4 linked regions of the Saccharomyces cerevisiae S288C genome follow. The gene in region 1 interacts genetically with each later gene. Each region holds a gene or a part of one and is shown in the gene's direction. Other genes may lie near its edges. The genes, in order: FMT1, HLJ1, MSC6 and DFG16.

Region 1 (3,522 bases):
CCCACCCGGAATTTCAAGAACTGTTGAGCATCCTAAGGATTGAAACAAGTTTGCTTTCCTATGGGAAAATACATGCATATAGATGCGTTTATGCCGCATCGAATATACAAAGGCCACCAGAAGAATATGGTCAGGCTTTTTAACCTTTTGTACAGTGATTCTGAGCGTAGTATCATCTGGATCCAGATCGTGTTTCCAAGATATTCTTCTCACTGGATCATTTGATTCTGATGCCCCTACGATGATTATTTCCCTTGAAGTGAGTAAAATACCATTTTTATCATCTATCCGCTTATAATCACGTATGTTTGACCATGCTTTCGCTTGTACTACTTCCGTTTGCCAATTGTTCATAAAGTCGATCTCAATCATTTTGGACCTATCAAAGACCAGTATTTTTTGGAAGTGTGAAAACCATTCTATTCTTTTCCATGACGATAATTCTTCTGGATCAAAAATCGTACCGTGGAGGTTATCTATTAACTGTAGTTTCCTTTTGTTATTATTATTGAAATTCTTTGGTATCCTCCCGATACTCCAGTTACCTTTTATATCAATGATTGCGAATTGTTGTAAGTCCCAAGGATTGAATGCAAAATCTACCACCTGAAGGTCGTCTATTTCAACAAAATACAGTGGTTCTGAACTACTAACCATGACATCACATGATCTTGAGTGGACACTTTCAATTCTAAAGATTTGGAAAGAATTTTCGGTGATTATGCCCACCAGGTTTGATCTCCGCCCGATGGACTCAGAGGCCCCCGGTATCTTAATACTCTTGATAGGTGAATGCAATTCGATACTCGTTACATTGTTATGTCGGTTTAAATGCAATGTATTTTGTCGTGTCAGAACTGCTATATTTAGGACTGAGCCTGTTTTACCCGAGGCATATGCTATGATTTCGGTTCCGTCTCTATAATTTCTTAAATCTGATGCTGTCTGAATATATTGAGAGTCCAGTCGATTAGCCACAGTAGGATCCCAAAAGAAGGCGTCTTGCATCGGCCTCGAAGAGTTAGTACTTTCTTGTAATGTATCATCTAAGTTGCGCAGCAAATCTGAAGGAATGTAATCTTGAAATGAAACTGGCGTATCGCAGTTCACACCAAACATAGAATCATTACCAACGTCAACTTTCTTAAAAAAATGGACATCTTTCGGTACCACGGGTATCACTGGATTGACCACTATAGATGTATCCCCCTGATTGTCCGTATCTTCATCAATATCGCTAGTTATGAGATCATCGTCGGCATCTGATTCTTGCAAAACCTTGTCGTCGGAAATATATCTTATGGCAGTATCACAAAGCAGACTTTTGACCACTATATGAAGGTCTAGTGCATCCTCGGCCAATGTATCATCTACTGGTCTTAGCCATTGTGGCTTTTCTTGCTTCTTCGTAGTGTAATTTTCTTGCGGACAGTAAAGACTGGCGCCTTGTACACCAACACCCAATTGCGAGCCTAACACATCTGAGCTTGGAATTTGTCCCTCACTCATGCTCAGCCCATAGAACGCCTTCTCTCTTTACTTCAACTTGCCACATCAATATCATTACCAAACTAATATGAAAGCTCATCTCGGTTTCTTAATCGAGAGAATAAAAATTATCGTATGCCCACAGGGTAACCCATATTTATATCAAATGGAAGAAGCGTCCATTAAGAAAAAAGCAAAAAAAGCTGTACCTGCTATTATGGAGAGGAGTAAGCGCTTTTCTCATTAACGTAAAAAGAGAGGTAAGAAAAAAAAGGAAGGGGACCTAGGCACCTCATAGTGAGAAGATTGAAAACGGCGTATCAAACAAATGGTTAAAATGAGAAGAATAACACCTACACGCCTCCTATTCACATGCAGATATATTTCAAACAATGCTTCTCCACCAGTGCAGCCCTTGAATGTGCTTTTCTTTGGTAGCGACACTTTCAGTAATTTCTCATTGCAAGCACTCAATGAGTTGCGTCAAAATAATGGAAGCTGTGGTATAGTGGACAATATTCAAGTAGTAACTAGGTCGCCGAAGTGGTGCGGTAGACAGAAGTCTATTTTGAAATACCCGCCGATCTTCGATATGGCAGAGAAGCTTCAATTGCCACGCCCAATTACATGCGACACCAAGCAGGAAATGTTGGCGCTAAGCAAACTGACACCCAGTCGCCAAGGAAATCCGGAGAACGACGGCTCCGGTGCTCCGTTCAACGCGATCATTGCGGTTTCTTTTGGGAAGCTCATTCCGGGTGACTTGATCCGCGCGGTGCCATTGGCGCTAAACGTCCATCCTTCGCTACTTCCCAGACATAAAGGCAGTGCACCTATCCAGCGAGCTCTGCTCGAGGGTGACACTTACACCGGTGTAACTATACAGACACTGCATCCGGATCGGTTTGACCATGGTGCAATTGTAGCGCAGACGGAGCCACTGGCGATCGCAACAATGCTGTCAAAAGGGAGAGTCAATGATTCGACGGCAGATTTTAATTCTGAGGGCCTGCCTCGGAGGACTGCCATACTGATGGACCAGTTGGGCGCCCTTGGCGCCCAACTTTTGGGCCAAACGCTTCGTGAGAGGTTATATCTACCACAGAACCGTGTGCAAGCGCCAACAGCTTACAAACCCAGTTACGCCCACCGTATAACAACAGAAGATAAACGCATTCATTGGGCGCGCGATTCTGCCGCCGAACTACTTAACAAACTCGAAACGCTCGGTCCTCTGCACGCGTTCAAAGAAGCGACAGCGGCAAGAAAGGACGCTCAAAATTCAGTATTAAAACGAATATTGTTTCATGAGTGTAAAGTGATGAGAGACGCACGTCTAGATAATGGCAGTAAACCGGGCATGTTCAAATATGATGATATTAAAGACTGTATTTTGGTCACCTGTCGCGGCAACTTACTACTATGTGTGAGCCGCCTCCAGTTCGAAGGTTTCGCCGTAGAACGTGCTGGCCAGTTCATGGCGCGCCTGCGGAAAAGATGCGGCGCCCTGAGTGAAAAGTTAGTTTTCCTGTAACCCGGCTCTACATTCCTCTTTTAGTATTCTTCTTCTCCCTTCTTTCAATCCCTCATCCATCGGTCTCTCAACAACTATGGCTGCCAAGCCCTACGCGCTATGAAGAAAAAGAAAAGTAGGCCCGCCTTCTTTCCCAGTTGCAGTTTATTTATGATTCGGAAAGATTGATGTTAGTAATGGCTTGTAGTTCATAACAGAGTGAATTAAGTGTAGGAAGCCCGGAATTAAATATATAGTAAAAAGAGCACAGGGGCGTTTACATCGGGGTAAAAAAAAATGCCTGCACCAAAACTCACGGAGAAATTTGCCTCTTCCAAGAGCACACAGAAAACTACGAATTACAGTTCCATCGAGGCCAAAAGCGTCAAGACGTCGGCTGATCAGGCATACATCTACCAAGAGCCTAGCGCTACCAAGAAGATACTTTACTCCATCGCCACATGGCTGTTGTACAACATCTTCCACTGCTTCTTTAGAGAAATCAGAGGCCGGGGCAGTTT
Region 2 (4,828 bases), on another chromosome or scaffold:
GGATAAACAGTTGCAGCATCAAACACAAGAGCAGCAGCAGATACGAGAGGACCAGCAGGAAGTCCCACCCCAACGTCCACGACAACAAAACAGATGGAAACCCTGGTGGAATTCCACTGCCGACGATGAGCCAAACACGGGAAGAATTGCAGAATATCCTAATGGACAAGGAAGGAGTAGTCCGACAACGGATTTTCAAGATAGCGTGAACTCGAATAATGACAATAAAGGGATATGGTCTAAAATCGCTTCTTTTGCAACATCCAGATATAGAAGTGCCCCAATTGTTGTTGATGATAATACCCGCTACTCTCAACTAAACACTGAACAAATCAACTTCTTGGAAAATGAGGCTAAGGATATAATTTCAAAAAAGTCGAAATCATGGTGTTGGTACGAAGCAATTCCACATATATCAAATTCATCAAACATAATTGATTCCATAGATACCCCAGGAATAATCAGTGTCTCTGGTACAGGATCAGCCAAATGCCCATTGCCATTAAACAAATATCCTGGGGAGGGAGGTAACCCTGGGTATAATGTATTTATTAATGATTCTTTAATCCTACCATCAGATAACCCTTTGAATTTTCTGCACGTCCAACCACTAAGAACTAAGGTATTGAATACTATCAAAAATTACTATAACTTCCCTAATGAGCAACATCTCTATTTAAGACAAAAAAAAACCGCATTACTGAAGGATAAGAGAATTATTATAATATCCGTCGTGGGGGATTTACCAGAAAAGTATGAGCAGCGCTCATTAGAATCACAAAGATCGGCTTATTATCTTTCTAGAAAATTGTCACAAAATCTAGCGCAAGAACAACCTCAAAGAGTCTTGACCCTATCGTTCCAGTGCCCACTGCATAATCAAGATTTAATACCTACATATAAAGAATGTGTAGAGTTACTGAACCACTGGGCTCATCTTTTCAAAGAGGTAGATTCAATTTTTTTTGTGGGCGTTTATCACAGCGTTCCCTTAACTTTGCTATTAGCGAAATATATCGTGCAAAATAATGAAGTTCTAGAGTTTGATGAAAACACTACAGTGAGTGTATTGAGTTTCCAGTCATGTTTACAAGGCTATCGATTTTGGGACCACAGCACTGACTTTACTAGCAATAGTTATAATAACTTGGGTTCCAATTCCAGTACTAACGAAAATGATAGTAATGATCATGATTCAAATAATGATTTCACAACGAAGAGCCAACAAATCAAAGAAAAACAGTTATTTCAGGGCATTGACAAAAAGCAACAAGACACATTATCTAAAATCAAAAATTATAGGCGGATAGATTCTAGTGAATCTAAACTAGTTCAGGATGCATTGGATTGGCTCTTGTTCAATTGGGATACGTTTCGACTGACATTTTTTGGTAAGCTTTATGATAATTTTATGACAATTTCAGAAAAACTTGCTATAGATTATAATCACCCTAAAATCTTGAGAAATTTATGGTGCAATGGGAAGTACATGGGCATTGATTTAAAGAATGCTAATAATTTAAACCTTGATACCGATGATGAAGCAACTAGTAACATTAATGACGTCCATGTAAGGACCCCTAATTTTGAATCGAGATTGAAGATTCCCACCAACAGACTTTTCGAAATAACCTTATGGGATATTTTGATGATAACGGAGAATTTAGGATATAAACAATTTATTCCCATAATTAATTTACTAAGTCCTTTTTTTATTTCAAGGTCATTTAATGATTACACATTGCCTCCAAATATTAGGAAACAGTACCAGAACAGCAACAAAATCTGGCTTCAAGAAATGGACAGTAAGTGGAAAATGAATGGTCATCAACTCAATTACGACCAAAGGGAGGGTGAAAGTCTCGGTTCATCATCGGAATCATTATTGCCAGAGAATATTTCTACGGTAAAGGATTTTTTGCAGTTTGTGCAGTATCAAAACGAAAAATCTTCGGATTTCGTAAGGATATATTCAGACATTTATGATGACGATAAAGTCTATAAATGCTTTCTGTACAATACAATATTCACGAAAAACCCATTAAGTCGTAAGCATTTACGTTTAAACATCGACCTCGACACTCCTACAAGCATATTGAATACTGTCAATCAATATGATTTGGTATGGAAAATTCATGATTCCTTCTCCAAATTGATTCAATTGAAAAATTTACCGCAGCGAGAGATACCACATGCGTTGAGGCTCTCCATCTCATTAAACTGCTTCTTGGATAGTACCACGAGTACTTCTGGCCCTGTTTTTCAGAGGGACACCGTGGAAGCTTTGAGAAGATTAACAGAGATTTGGCGAACTTACCAGGATTGGTCTCCACCAACAAGGGGTTTGAAACACCTACGTGATATCCTGAGCGTTTTAGCCATGTATGACAACCCCAAAAACTTGATTAATGATGTTCGACGTACATAGTAGATTCGTATATAGCGGACCGCGTAACATATTATGGTATTTGTATAGTGGGTAACCCGCAGAGTAGGCTGGAAAGTATTCGTGAAGAACATAAAGGAAGCTGGCAGAAGTTCTTTTCATACACCTCTACTTCCAGAAGCCATAATAGCAGCAACGCTGTTTCTGCAATATAACTTGTGGAAGGTCTATAATAGGAAGAACATGTCTTTCACTGAGGATCAAGAAAAAATCGCGCTAGAAATACTGTCAAAAGACAAGCATGAGTTTTACGAAATTTTGAAGGTAGATAGGAAAGCCACAGATAGTGAGATCAAGAAGGCATACAGAAAACTAGCAATCAAATTGCATCCTGATAAAAACTCTCATCCAAAAGCGGGAGAAGCTTTCAAAGTAATTAATAGGGCATTTGAAGTACTAAGCAATGAGGAAAAGCGCAGTATTTATGACAGGATAGGTAGGGATCCTGACGATAGACAAATGCCATCCAGAGGTGCTGCTTCAGGGTTCCGAGGAAGTGCAGGTGGGTCTCCAATGGGTGGCGGATTTGAAGACATGTTTTTCAATTCACGTTTCGGTGGTCAAAGAGCTGGACCACCAGAGGACATATTCGACTTTTTGTTCAACGCAGGCGGCAGCCCATTCGGCGCTTCACCATTTGGGCCTTCTGCTTCCACTTTTTCATTTGGAGGCCCCGGTGGTTTCAGAGTTTATACTAATAATCGTGGTGGCTCACCGTTCATGCGTCAACAACCCCGCTCAAGACAGCAGCAACAACAAGCAGAAGAAAATGCAGTGAATTCGCAATTAAAAAATATGCTCGTTCTTTTCATCATCTTTATTGTTCTTCCTATGATTAAAGATTACCTGTTTAGTTAAACACAATATTTTTACTGTCATTTTTTTATTATTTTCCAACGTTAGTCAAAGTTGTACTATAAAATAAAACTACAAGGAGCAAGCAAAATTGAAAAAACGCATTTGTATACTAGATGACATTTAGGTCATTCCTTCAGGCTTCCTGGCTATGTTTTATTTTGTTCCACAGTTTACCAGAAGGACATAATGGTATTAGAATTTTAATATATCGAGGAAATTAAATCAGACAGTATAATACTTATAAACATCTTTATTTTCTGATAACTAATCATAGCATTTACGCCATACATTTACTTTTTCTTTTGACACCGAAAGTAATCAAGCCACTTTTATAATTAGAGTTAGTTTATAGATAGTATTTAAAATTTGTGAAGATTTCCCATGCGTTGTGCCTTGCTTTCTCTCAAAATACATCTTGTTAATTTTCTAATGTGTGGATGCCGAAATAATATTCGACTCAACAAATCAAGTAAGTCTTCTAAGCTCGCTACTAATTTCCAATAAAAGGTATATATATAAAAATGTTCTCAATAATGTAATTAAACAAGATCACGAGAATTACTCCAGATCCTTTAGCCTTGCCTGAATAATCTGGTTCACATCTTCATCTTCCACATTCCTCGATGGAAGCTTCAGTTTCTTCGTCAGTTTAGTAGTTATATTGCCGCCAATACTGTCTTTACTGCTTTGTGTTTTCAAGGATGGTCGCTTGATTAACTTGCCACTAGGTAATACCTCGTATCGTTCAGAGCTCTTTTTAGAAGAGTTTCCAAAGAAATTTTTTTTTGAGGAATGGTCTACATTCCCATTTGACATTGAATATATGCTGCTGTTATGAGTTTTTGCACTTGCACGTGAATTAGTTCTTGGCCTTGAAAGAACTTTGTCTGTGTACCTTGTGAAAGTACTGGGATCTTTATCCCACGTCCATCCTTGCCTCATTTCGCTATAGGCTCCTAGTTCCAGCTTCTTTCTGATATCACTTTTTTGTTCCAGCTCAGCAAAAATATCAGAATCTGATGGCCATATCATAACTTTGAATGTTTTGTAAACTATATCTAAAGTGATAGGTAACAGTGCCAACACCAAGCTAGTACACCAGAATGTAATGTCTTTACCAAAATGATTGTAAAAGCCATATGCTACATCATATATTTGGTCAGTATTATTCAAAATAGGAAGGGCACAACACCACACTAACCAACCTCCACAGGATAGAACTACAGAAGTAAAAGCCAGCCAATTCCTATTGTGCATTTCAACAAATTGGGATTTAACGTTAATTAAGGCAACAATGGCTGTGAAATTGATGAGACCTAGAGGATACATAGTGTTATCTGAAAGAGAACTCATACCCCACATTACAACATTTAAAAATGTAATGATAAGAGAATTCGTAGTTGCCAAGATAACCCACTCCATGAATATTAACCAATTAAAACCTTGTGAAAGGCGCCCGTACGAATATAATTCAGGGACTGTTAGTAGAGTCATTGGTTTCAAGTCTTTCTCAAACATACCAAT
Region 3 (5,970 bases), on another chromosome or scaffold:
CTTGTATCACCGGAGGTCTCCAATTGTTGTTTAAGTTGCATCGTAACAGCTTGAGCATGCTCCTTGTAATCGGGAGATAATATGCCTCTGTATATATAGAGCATCCTTCTAGGAGATGAATTAGACCATTCCCTTGATAAAGCATAAGTTAACGTTTTCTCACCTTTTTCAATTTTTTTAACATAAGCGTTCAGTTTTGCGGAAATTAAATTTGACAACTTGGTTGATAAATTGGACATATCTGGATGTTTTTGCAAAAGCAAGTCACACAGTTGTTTGACGGTCATGCCTTGTTGATTCGGATCCATTTCCCATAATATTAAAAAAACTGCGTGAAGAACGTCATCATCCAGAGGGGAGTCTCTATTTTCGGGTTTTGGCCTCTCACCAGTAACAGGTATTAGCTTAGAAATTTCTAATAATGGATTGTCTTTTTTGGGAGCACCAAAGTCCTTCTTAGGTTTGGTAGCTTTTATTTCCTGAGATGAGGAAAACGAAGAACCGGCCAAATTATTATCATCAAGGGCCATGCCTGGCTGGTTGCCGATAAGATCCGTGCCTGGATTCGAAATAGTGTCAGCTCTAGTTGTAAATCCCATTGAATTCAACTGAAATACTGGAGAATTTGAGTTATGAAGAATTTCATTCTCTAAAGTTGGTATTTGCAAAGGTCTGGAATTTGCCAATGCCATTATAAGTTCTTCTAATCAATTTTTTTATATGGTTTTTTGTCTTTTTTCGTATTTTTTTGTCCTTTTCTAAAATACTATAGCAAAGCAAAAAAAAAAGTAAAAAAAATTTGATTTATGAAAAGTTGAAATATCCTGGAAAAATTAGTTAAAACCTCCCAATATTTCTGTAGTTATTGATTGATTGCCCGTTTATTTTCTATTTTGCTGATATTGTTTCTGCTAACGTTTCTTTATATAATCCCGCTTGCTGACACAGAAGTGACTAAAATAGGGTAAAAAGGGAAATTATTACGAAAAGGGCAGTCCAAAGCAAATAAAAAACAATGGAATAGAAAATAAAAAAAATTAAAACTCAAAATAAAATGTATTCCAATGTAAAGGAAAAAATAAAATAATAGGAAAAAAGAAACTATTATTTTAAAGCCTTCAATAATGGAATGCTGAAAAGAAAAGTTATGATTTTGGTAATTTGAGTCAAATAGTCAATCAATGACTTTTTGTTTTTGGTTTTTCAGAAATAGAAATTACCAAGAACCTTAATTGATAAAAAAAAGGGGAGCTTGAAGGGAATACTGATAATACAAACAATATCGTGTAAAAAAAACCTACGTAAAAAATTAAATCAAGCCAAGCGAGAACAGAAAAAAAAAATGAAGTAAAATATTGGACTGGAATATGAAAATTTTAGAAAAAGAACTAGCCGGGATAAAAGTACAAGAAAAGGAGAAGAAGAAAAATTTTTGACTTCTCATCGCATGGGTTTTCAGAAAATTTTCTTATCAAAAATTTCATCGGGCGTATGATTTTCGTTTTTTTCTGCGTCGTTCCTTCACAAAGTATCGAAAACCCCAAACAAAAAAAATATAAAAAAAAAAAAACACCCTTGCACCCATAACATACGGCGAGATGTAAGGTAGGTATAGCAGACTTAGATATTGCGTGCGAATCAGTTTGATTCGCAAGTAAAATCTTCATGCGCATTAGTATAGAGCGTTGGAAGCAGTTAACATAGTATTTCGGTTTTTTTTCCCTTTCATAAAAAGGATTCTTCTTCCATAATCCCTTGCGTGAGTTGAATATGAATGAAACTCGTTGAACTAGTGAACAACAAGTGATTGTATGCTCATATTTAGTACTAACATTTCAGCATTGTATAATCCTTTCTTTACTTTCAGGATAAAGACATACATTCTACGTATGATCAAGAGTAAGGAACAAGAATATTAAAAAAAACGAGATGAACCTTGAGTATATATATATATATTTACACCAATGTGCCCTACGAAAATAGTGAAAAAAAAATTTCAGTTGCAACCGCGTTTTGTCCGTTAGTATCTTTTGTCCGTACACCTCGTACTAAAAAAGAAAACCAGTCCAAAAAGAAAGTCAAACGGTCCAAATCGGAAACACCGACGCTCAGCTTAATAAACATTGTGTAGAGCCAAGCGGAAAAGAATACCATTTAGCCGCCGATGCAGAAAACCGGTATATAGAGCTGAAAACAAAGATTGAACTCTCCAGACAAGTTAGAAGTAAAAGCAAGTAATATATAAGTTTTATAAGTGAATATTCGGTCGAAGGTAGTGTCAAAGTTACATCACCAAAACTACTTACTATTGAGGAAATATCAGGTGTGCCAATACGTTAATTGATCTGTGAATAAAAAACGAAGTTGGAACATTGTATTACCTTTCAAATATGCCATAAAAGGTTGCTCGTCGACTAAGTAATTAATCGATTATAAGAGGGAAAAAGCGGGGTAAGTAAAATGTAATATCATCATATACGATATACATACCGCCTGTGGAATCGTTCAATTGCTACACATGTCTAACTAAGGACGTACTGTCTATATGTTTGCTTAAGTTGGCTCTGCACAAAATAATATCAGAGCCTTCCACTGGGATACAGATGCTTTCCCATAATGCTTTAAGGGCCTTTGATTGTTCAAAGGTGATTATTTCACGAAGATGTCTAACCTCTTCAACATCGATATACCAACAAAGCAGCGTTCACTTACAAGAAACAGATGATGGACATTCAGGAAATAGAGAAAAGCACGTCTCACCGTTTGAAAGGGTACAAAATTTGGCTGCTGATTTGAAGAACGAGTTGAAAGCTCCAGATTCAGATATCAATGAAGTTTTTAATGACTTTAAAGATAAGATTGAATCGTTGAAACAGAAATTAAGGAACCCTTCACCTATGGAAAGATCACACTTGTTAGCGAATTTTTCTTCGGATCTCCTACAGGAATTAAGTTACAGAAGCAAAAATATGACGCTAGATCCTTATCAAGTATTAAACACATTGTGCCAATACAAATTGGCACGCTCACAACATTTCACGATTGTTTTAAAGTACCTTCTATATAATCAATCACCACAGGACGTTATTGCCTTATGGGTGAAGTACTTGGAAACCATTTCCGAAAACCCAGTGATCTTACTTCAAAATAGTTCTTCTCGTGCACATATGCAAAATATTGCAATTACCACCATTGCTTACTTATCTTTACCAGAGAATACTGTGGATATCAATATTCTGTATAAGATTTTACAGATCGATCGTAAAATGGGCCAGGTTTTACCTTTTAACATGATTAGAAGAATGTTAAGTACAGAATTTAGCTCTCTTGAAAGAAGAGACGTGATTATCAAAAATCTAAACACTTTGTACTATCAATACACAGTACAGGATAGTGATCATTTCTTAAGTCAAATTGAAAATGCTCCTAGATGGATAGATTTAAGGGATCTTTATGGCCAATACAATAAACTTGAAGGTGAGAAAAATGTAGAGATCATAAGCAAGTTCATGGACAAGTTTATTGATTTGGATAAACCCGACCAAGTTGTTACTATTTATAACCAGTATAGCAAGGTTTTCCCAAATAGTACGTCGCTGAAAGATTGTCTTTTAAGAGCTGTGTCGCACTTACGAGCTAAATCGAGTAAAGAGAAGTTGGACAGAATTCTAGCAGTCTGGAACAGTGTTATCAAACCAGGAGATAATATTAAAAACACATCTTATGCGACGCTAGTTAACGCACTAACTGATTCTGGAAATTTCAACCATTTAAAGGAATTTTGGGAAGAAGAACTTCCTAAAAAGTTCAAGAAAGATCCCATCGTGAAGGAAGCATTTCTCCTGGCCTTATGTCAAACTTCGCCTCTAAAGTATGACCAAGTCAAAGGGGAGTTAGCAGAGACTGTTAAAACCAAGAAGTTGTTCAATAAAGTTTTATTGCTAATGTTAGATGATGAAAAAGTGAGCGAAGAACAATTCAACACATTTTACTATAACCATTATCCATCAGATGGTGTGTTACCCCCTACTTTGGATACTCTAAGCATTAAAATGTACGCTAATTATAAATTTCAGGCAGAAGATACACGCCCACAATTCGATCTATTGCAAAGTGTTTCCATTAATCCCACCGATTATGAAAAGGTTGAAAAGATTACGAAAGCCTTTATTTCAGTGTGCCCCACTGTCGAGCCGATTCGTCAACTTTACAAACAATTGGGAACTCACTTAAATGCTAGGAATTATGCAGACTTTATTTCCGCAGAGTTTAATAAGCCTGACGGCACAGTGGCCGAGGCAAAGAATTTGTTTTCTGATTTTCTCTCATATCAAAAGACTAGAAAGAGAAACGTGGATAATACGCCTCTAAATGCTTTATTATTGGGGTTCTGTGATAAACTTTACAAGAGTAAACATAGCGAGTACGTTCCCTACATCGAAAAGTACTACAATCTAGCTAAGGATTCAAGTATCAGGGTGTCGAACTTGGCCGTTTCGAAAATTCTATTCAACTTGGCCACATTTGCACGCAATACTCAGCAGTTATCTGACAAAGAGGTTGCTTTTATTAACCAGTTTATGCGAGATTTAGGCACTAATGAGGGTTTTCGTCCCAACCCTAAGGATATTCAAATTTTAAAAGAATGTGATGGAATTACTGTTCCAGAAAAGTTGACTTAATACACTTGTCATAAGAAGACAATAAGAAAAGCTCAGAACCAATTTTCTGCACATATGATGCTGTAACTATATAATGATTTCTTGTATATAACTTCCGTATAATAGTTATTGCTTCCATGCATGATTCTTTCAAAGAACAATACAAAATAAAAATAAAAAAAAAAAAAAAAAATGAAAAAATGAAGCTACAAGTCGGGTAACAAAAAGTATTTCAAGATCTCTAAATATAAGTGGGCAAATAAAGTTAATGCCAAAACTCCATGCTACTTTTCACCTGAACTTATTGGGGGGAGTTAAGTCTATAAGTATCCGTAACGTATGGTAGCGACATCTTCAAAGAGGACGTTGGATCCGAAGGAGGAACATTTGCCTGCTGACAAAACATCCACTAATTCAAGCAACACTATAATATCTGAGTTGGCAACACAAGAGAAATCCAGCTCTAGTGGTACTACACTAAAATTAATAGCTCTTAATATCAAGTCCATATCAGATGAAGATGTGGGATATATCCAAAATGTTGAAAGACTGTCTTTAAGGAAAAATCACTTAACATCCTTACCAGCGAGTTTCAAGAGGTTATCAAGGCTGCAATATCTGGATTTGCATAATAACAATTTTAAAGAAATCCCATATATTTTGACACAATGCCCTCAATTAGAGATCTTGGATCTGTCCTCCAATGAGATTGAAGCATTGCCAGATGAAATATCATCGTTTTGGCAAGATAATATTCGTGTATTATCATTGAAAGACAACAACGTTACTAGCATACGTAATTTGAAATCGATCACAAAATTAAACAAGCTGAGCATCTTGGATTTAGAGGATAATAAAATACCCAAAGAAGAGCTTGACCAAGTACAGAGTTATACTCCATTTCATACGGGCATCCCCAAAGAAGAATATTGGGCAATTGCGATATCACGATATCTAAAAGATCATCCTAACCTACCTACTCCAGAACCTAAAATATCTAGAGCAGCGAAAAGAATGGGATTCATAAATACGAACTTGTCTAATGGAGCAATGAATGAAAACAATATAATTTCACTTGCCCCAAGTGCAAATACAACTATAAGTGCATCTACTGCAATGGTCTCATCTAATCAAACCTCTGCAACATCTTTCAGTGGTACAGTCAATGCAGAATCAGAACAAAGTGGGGCAGTGAATGGTACGGAACTATACAATCACACCAAATATAATGACTACTTCAAGAGGTTGTCGATTTTACCAGAAGAGTCAATGAGTAACGGGCATCAAAAAATATCGCATGCAGAGTTGG
Region 4 (6,046 bases), on another chromosome or scaffold:
GAATTTCTTCTTCCAGAAAGATCTGTAAGTGAGCCAGTTCTGCTCTCATAACCAGGCTCTTCAAGTGTTGCAATCTTTGGGAGCTGAATTTGCGGTAGAGTCACATTCGAAGCAACTACCGAAATTGTATGCAAATCAGCCTTGTTCTCCTCTTTAATAAACCCTACAGGAGGGCTTGGCACGAAAGCGGTATCCGTCATTTTTTTTGGCTTTGTACTGTCTCTTGTCATTGAATGGGAAGCTAAAATAGGTTGAAAATTAAAAGGATGATTGTCCATTTTTATTTGCATTAACATTTGAGTAGGTTTTTGGTTTTCCTTCTTGTTCCAAGCTGTTATTCTATATCTATGATGAGATTAACGGCTGCAAAAAGTCGTAGTTAATCAGTAAAATTATCTAATGAATTATTTGTAAGCAGAATGCGTGAGAAAAAATAAATCACCCAGTTCCTTTTTTATATACATGAACTTTGGTAATGATGCAGACATCAACTAGTTCTCGAGTGAGGAGGTATCCTTATCAAATCACTCTCTCCCTAGTATTGAAAGGGTTTTACTCGCCTTCTGCTCCTAGTTACGATTTTTGCCTAGTACTCCTTCCTACCCTCTTCCTCATAGATTTAATGCCAATAAAATTTTCTTTGCATGTCACCATTGGGATCGGTGAGGCAACTCCGGTTCCGATTTTTTTTTTTTCAGCGCCGTGGTATTTCCGCTCGGGAAATCCCCTCCCGCATTGCGTCAGAGCTTATCGATGTAAAGTTAATTTCCCTTTTTTTCGGTTGGGCTGGAGCACTTGGTTGCATTACTAACAAATTAACGAACAATAGTTTTAAAAGCAAGTGCCTTAAGATTTAGGTCATTCCTTCGAGGATTTCTGGGAACAATTTAAAGAATAACAGAAACTTTTGCGGCCCTTTTCATCATCTACGTGTTTTGTAAGAATGAGATCACATTCCACGTAGCCCTAAACATTGGCGTACATTTCCACTCGGAACCTTTTCTCGACCCCTCTCCGTACGCCAAGTTTTACCTTGAGGAGTAAGTCGTCAAAGGGGCGTGGGGCAGCCATTTCTTAGGAGGTGGGAAGACATGGCAGTGAGTGGGCCCTATGATTGCTGCTGCAGGGGACTTTTCAGGATAATCATGTAAACGATAAAACGGAAAAACAAAACTACGGACGTTGTTACCTTTCCATTTTGAAATGTTTCTCCGAAAAAATACCATTTTGCACAGTTCAACATTCTTGATGGCAAAAGCGAAGCATTGCGTCAACGGGTTAGATAAGTCATTTACTGTCAATTAGTACCAATACCTGTCTTTGCTCACCGAATGGCACTATACAGTGACGTTAAGATCTTGTAGTTGTTTTTCAAGAAGGCACTAAATAAGGTAATATATGGTGCCTTTCGCAATGACTCGTGTATCTGGCAGATCTATAGCTGCACACCTGATTTTTTTGCTATATTTGAATCAGGAGTAAGTTTGAACCATAATCATTCCAATTCAGTTTGATAGTACCTTTTTTTTAAAATTTTTGAAAGAGCTATCGCTTAGCTATCGGCGGGCATATTGAATTGCGCAGTAGATGAACATTTCACTAGTTGTGGCCAAAGAAGTTAGTTAAAAAGTGTAAATATGTCACAGTACTTATCCTTCTCTAAAGAATTAGTTTATTAAAAGCAGCAACAAGAAGAATGACTGTCAACCATTTTTAGGTCATTGCAACAAATCTCAAAATACGCTTTTATAGATAATCTAAGAAGATCGTTATATGGGAATACTAACAGTGAGAAAATGGAAGAAACGGGTTAGCGTAGAAAATTGTAATTAAAAAACAACAGTTTTAAGAAGGTGGTGGGCAATTAATACTTGAGGATTAATACTTAGAGCTTATTCAAAAAGAAAAGATAGAATTTCATGTAATACATGAGAACAATGTAAGGTTTTTAAGGTAACGAGTAACTAAGTTTTGAAATATCTTCACTAGCCTTGCAATCATCTTTTAGCTTTTCTATTTGCCGGATTCTTTACAACATAATCACGCTTTCTTCTAGTTGTAATTTTCCTTCTAGATGTCATTATTTCAACCGATGTCATTAATATCCTTTTATGGTGTTTACAAAAAGAAAGTTTCAAGTACCGCTCACCTACACTACGTTGTAATTCTTAGATACATAACTTTAGTTTTGTCGCCTATGTGCACAGATAAACAAAACAACCTATAAAATTTCCGTTGGGCCCTTTTGTCCCTGATTTCTGGTGTGTAACCCATTTATTTCTGTCCTGTAATAATTCGTCTTCGGTGATTGCCATATATACACAGTTTAGCTTTACTAACTATAAACATCCGAGAAGAAGAAAAAAGAAGGTCTGATTTCTATCAAACAACATGTGAAGATAACACAATCGATGTGATTGATATCAGATTTACTAGCCCCGTTGGATTGAAAAATCTGCAAGGAAGGGCTAAAGAGCAATATACTTTCTTTTGTTGTTTCGGGGTGATGAGAAAATTGTAACTTTTTTTTTTAACTTGGCGAGAAAATTGACTGGAAGAAGTGTCAAAGATAAGGCTTCTATCATATTCAAAACAAGTACCACCAAATGGCAGCTCAACTCCGAAGGCTCAAAAACAATACTTATTGATATTGCACTCACAAGCATTTTTTGTTGCGGAACGTCTTTACGTGCAAGATTAATGATCATAAGATTGCATTTTTACTACCTCCTCACTTTAGTTTACCATTTAGGACTTGTAGGTGCGTATGAAAAAGCAGCAAGAAAGAGAATTCAACCTCCCGATTTGATACCTGGTCCTCCGGGACATAAACTTGGTGATGAAAGACCACCGCATTACGACCACCGGCCACCTTATAAAAAACACATCGACAACATTCCAGCTTACAATCTGACTGATTTGATAGATGATAAACTACTAAATAAATATGAAAACTCATGCACGGTAAATGTATTGACAGGTGGCTTCATCTCTCTAGCAAGTAATTCGTGGCACTTACGTGCTTATAATTACACTTTAAATTACCCATCCTTTTTGATCCGATGCGATAATGGCAGTGCAAATCCTAATTTCTCTCATGTCTTACAAGACTTTGTTTATGACATCAACAACAAATTCAACGTTCAAGATGACAGTAGTAAATACATCGGAAAAGACCCATTTCCCTTAGGAATGATAATGATCACCTTTGCTTCTGGGTGTATCTGTGTGGCAACATGGATGCTATTTTTGGTTGTCTTATTACTGCCATCCGATAATCATAATAGAAGAAATAAAGTTGTACATGTTTACGTCCTTTTCTCTGCGATTATAAGAACTGTATTTCTAAACGAGACTATAGCCGTCATATTTGACAGCCAATATCACGATGACTACCAGGATGCGAGCCAATTTGAATCGTTCATCGTAGAAACTGCACCATATAAAATATGTGAATTAGTTGCAAATATTTTGAGTGATATAAACTGGATTTATATTGTTCACTACTTACAGTCCAATTATGGAAAACCAACTTGGAATTGGATCCCATTTAAAATGAAAAAGGGGACACATATCATAATTACCGTGGGTTGCTTCCTCTCACTAGCCGATAACATTTTATTCGCAAACCTTCTTTGGAGAAAGAACCTTGTAGTTTTGAAGGTATTTTACAAGCTAATCGAATTACTGATTTACACAATTTTCATCTCCATTATTTGTTACTTCACATGGCATAATTTTGCTTACATACTTTTACCGAAAACTGCTGAAATTAATACGGACGGTAAGTGTAAAACGAAATTGAGAATTCTTTGGGAAAATTATCACGAAACTATACCATTATTGGCGTATAATATTCTTATATTTATTTTATTCTATTTCACCACAATTTTTTTCGCTGCTTTCACCAAACATGTTAGAGGTTGGACATTTAACTTTGTTCATCTTTTGAAAGTTTTAATAACAGTGAACGTTTGGGGCTTAATTGGAGTATTGGAAAAGAGGGAGCTGCACATAAGCAAAAAAACAGTCCTTGGACGAAAAATTAACAATAGGGACAAATTTTTCGCCAATCCAACAGTCAATTATTACGGAGAAGATTTAGGCAAGCATTTAAGCGCCATAACGTTAAACAGGGATTTAAACACTACTAAAAGTAACACTACTTCCCACGATTCATCAAGTTTAGTAGGATCCCCTTCACCCACCTGGAAATCTCCAATCGAAAGAATAAGGGACAGAAGAAGAAGACATAAGATAATGAAAAGTGAGAATAAATTTGGGCAAAATCCCAGTTTTGGAAGTAAATCGAATGGCAAACCTAATACTAAAACGACATTATCCAAATATCGACAGCTATTAAGGAAGCCTAGGCGAAAAACCAATTCATATGAACCAAAAAATGGCATTGGACAGAATAAAGAAGGCTCAACTGTTAGACCAGGAGCCGACAAACATATTAGAGATTCCAATTATCTAGCTACAGACATCAGTGACAACGAAAGTATGGAAACCGAACTTCGAACCAACCACATTTATAATTACGAAAATAGTGATTAAGGCAGGCCCAGTGGACGAAAAGACATAACTGCAGAAGTACAGCTGCCTTTATTTCTTGTGGTCATTTATTGCTTTTATTTTCAAGTCAGATATACAAGAAAATCAAATCCCATCGTCAACGTCACGTATAAACGATTAATTTACAGTAATACCATACTCTACCAACATTATTTTAGTCCGACGTTCAGTCCTGTAGGTGTTCCAAATCCTTCTGGCATTGACTTCTGTGCAGAAACCCTTCAAAATGAGTTCCACTTTACGTCAGATCGCATAACAACCGGTCATATATTTTTTTCTTTTGCTAAACCCCCTACTGCAAGCACTTTTAAGAAAAAGAACAATAAATGCGTCTTTATTGCTGTGTGGAAGTGATTTTTGTCTTTCGGACAAAAAAAGGATAGGGATGCGAGAGGGCTGTGAAGTAGTGATCAAGCGGGGCCTATATAAGAAGGGCGCACATCGTCCCCCCTAAGAATAGCGAAGCGATATTACACTGAACACTACAATGTCAAATAGTACTCAATAAATATGACTGTAAAAATATGTGACTGTTAAGGCGAATGTTGTAAGGACTCTTGTCATTGTGGGAGCACCTGCCTTCCAAGCTGTTCTGGCGGTGAAAAGTGCAAATGTGATCACAGCACCGGAAGCCCTCAATGTAAGAGTTGTGGTGAAAAATGCAAATGCGAAACCACGTGCACTTGTGAAAAGAGTAAATGCAATTGTGAAAAATGTTAGGTGACCCCTACTCTTTACTTATCATAAATACATCATCATATTTTACCCTTAATTAACAACATTTATTTAACTGCATGAACTAAATATAAGGTATAGTTTCTTTTTCCCGGAATCTTTTTTTTAGATCGTTATTATTTAGACGGCACTAAGAGAAATAAATTAAACTAAATTACGGTGCGGAGCTCAAGGCATCTGCGAGTGTTTACTAACACTAAAAGAGATGAATAAAATAGATTTCTCAATGCAAAATTAAAATTACAATGTTACGCATACACACAAGTACAGATTTGTATATAGTATTTCTTCTTCGTTTTATCTGTCGTGTTGAAACATTTTGTTGTTCAAGTATTAAAAGTCTCCTGCGTTGTTAAAATCCATATCATGTGAATTGTTGGTGCCGCTCATGAGGCCGTTTTGATGTGGAATATTATATTGAATGTTATGCAATGGTTGTTGTTGTCGTGGCTGCCGCTGCCGTTGGCGTTGGCAGCTTCTGGTTTGCTTTTGTACTTGTTCACTACTACTGTTGTCACTCAACGGTTGAGATGGCTCGGTAAGATGGACGAAAGAATCCCGTGTGTCATTTGATAAATGTTGATTAGCCAAGCTTAGCTGTAGGCACTTTCTTTCTAAATGACAAATATATTCAATAGATTTCGTTAAAATGGACGCCTTATTCAATTTTGTTGCTGGCTCTAGGCCATCTAAGTCTGCTAGGTCTCTAGATGTAATGGGAAGATCGTTACAT

The links.
Region 2: mutations in FMT1 (region 1) and HLJ1 together harm fitness more than expected from each alone (negative genetic interaction), as found in Saccharomyces cerevisiae (2 studies listed by BioGRID).
Region 3: mutations in FMT1 (region 1) and MSC6 together harm fitness more than expected from each alone (negative genetic interaction), as found in Saccharomyces cerevisiae (3 studies listed by BioGRID, with this or other methods).
Region 4: mutations in FMT1 (region 1) and DFG16 together harm fitness more than expected from each alone (negative genetic interaction), as found in Saccharomyces cerevisiae (2 studies listed by BioGRID).

Annotation. Positions count from the first base shown.
Region 1 is NC_001134.8:200,240-203,761, forward strand, and holds FMT1 (methionyl-tRNA formyltransferase), read left to right. Parts: upstream 1-1,816; coding exon 1,817-3,022; downstream 3,023-3,522. Other genes in the region: RRN6 (Rrn6p), read right to left, coding at 1-1,509; bifunctional glycerol-3-phosphate/glycerone-phosphate O-acyltransferase SCT1, read left to right, coding at 3,299-3,522. UniProt on the Saccharomyces cerevisiae protein: Formylates methionyl-tRNA in mitochondria and the cytoplasm. Responsible for the formylation of the 8 N-terminally formylated (Nt-formylated) mitochondrial matrix proteins that are encoded by mitochondrial DNA.
Region 2 is NC_001145.3:575,089-579,916, forward strand, and holds HLJ1 (type I HSP40 co-chaperone HLJ1), read left to right. Parts: upstream 1-2,629; coding exon 2,630-3,304; downstream 3,305-4,828. Other genes in the region: CVM1 (Cvm1p), read left to right, coding at 1-2,428; aminophospholipid-translocating P4-type ATPase DNF3, read right to left, coding at 3,863-4,828.
Region 3 is NC_001147.6:999,859-1,005,828, reverse strand, and holds MSC6 (Msc6p), read left to right. Parts: upstream 1-2,603; coding exon 2,604-4,682; downstream 4,683-5,970. Other genes in the region: GDS1 (Gds1p), read right to left, coding at 1-692; SOG2 (Sog2p), read left to right, coding at 5,001-5,970. UniProt on the Saccharomyces cerevisiae protein: May be involved in the control of meiotic sister-chromatid recombination.
Region 4 is NC_001147.6:384,125-390,170, forward strand, and holds DFG16 (Dfg16p), read left to right. Parts: upstream 1-2,700; coding exon 2,701-4,560; downstream 4,561-6,046. Other genes in the region: CIN5 (Cin5p), read right to left, coding at 1-296; YOR029W (uncharacterized protein), read left to right, coding at 476-811; HMS1 (Hms1p), read right to left, coding at 5,647-6,046. UniProt on the Saccharomyces cerevisiae protein: Involved in invasion during filamentous growth.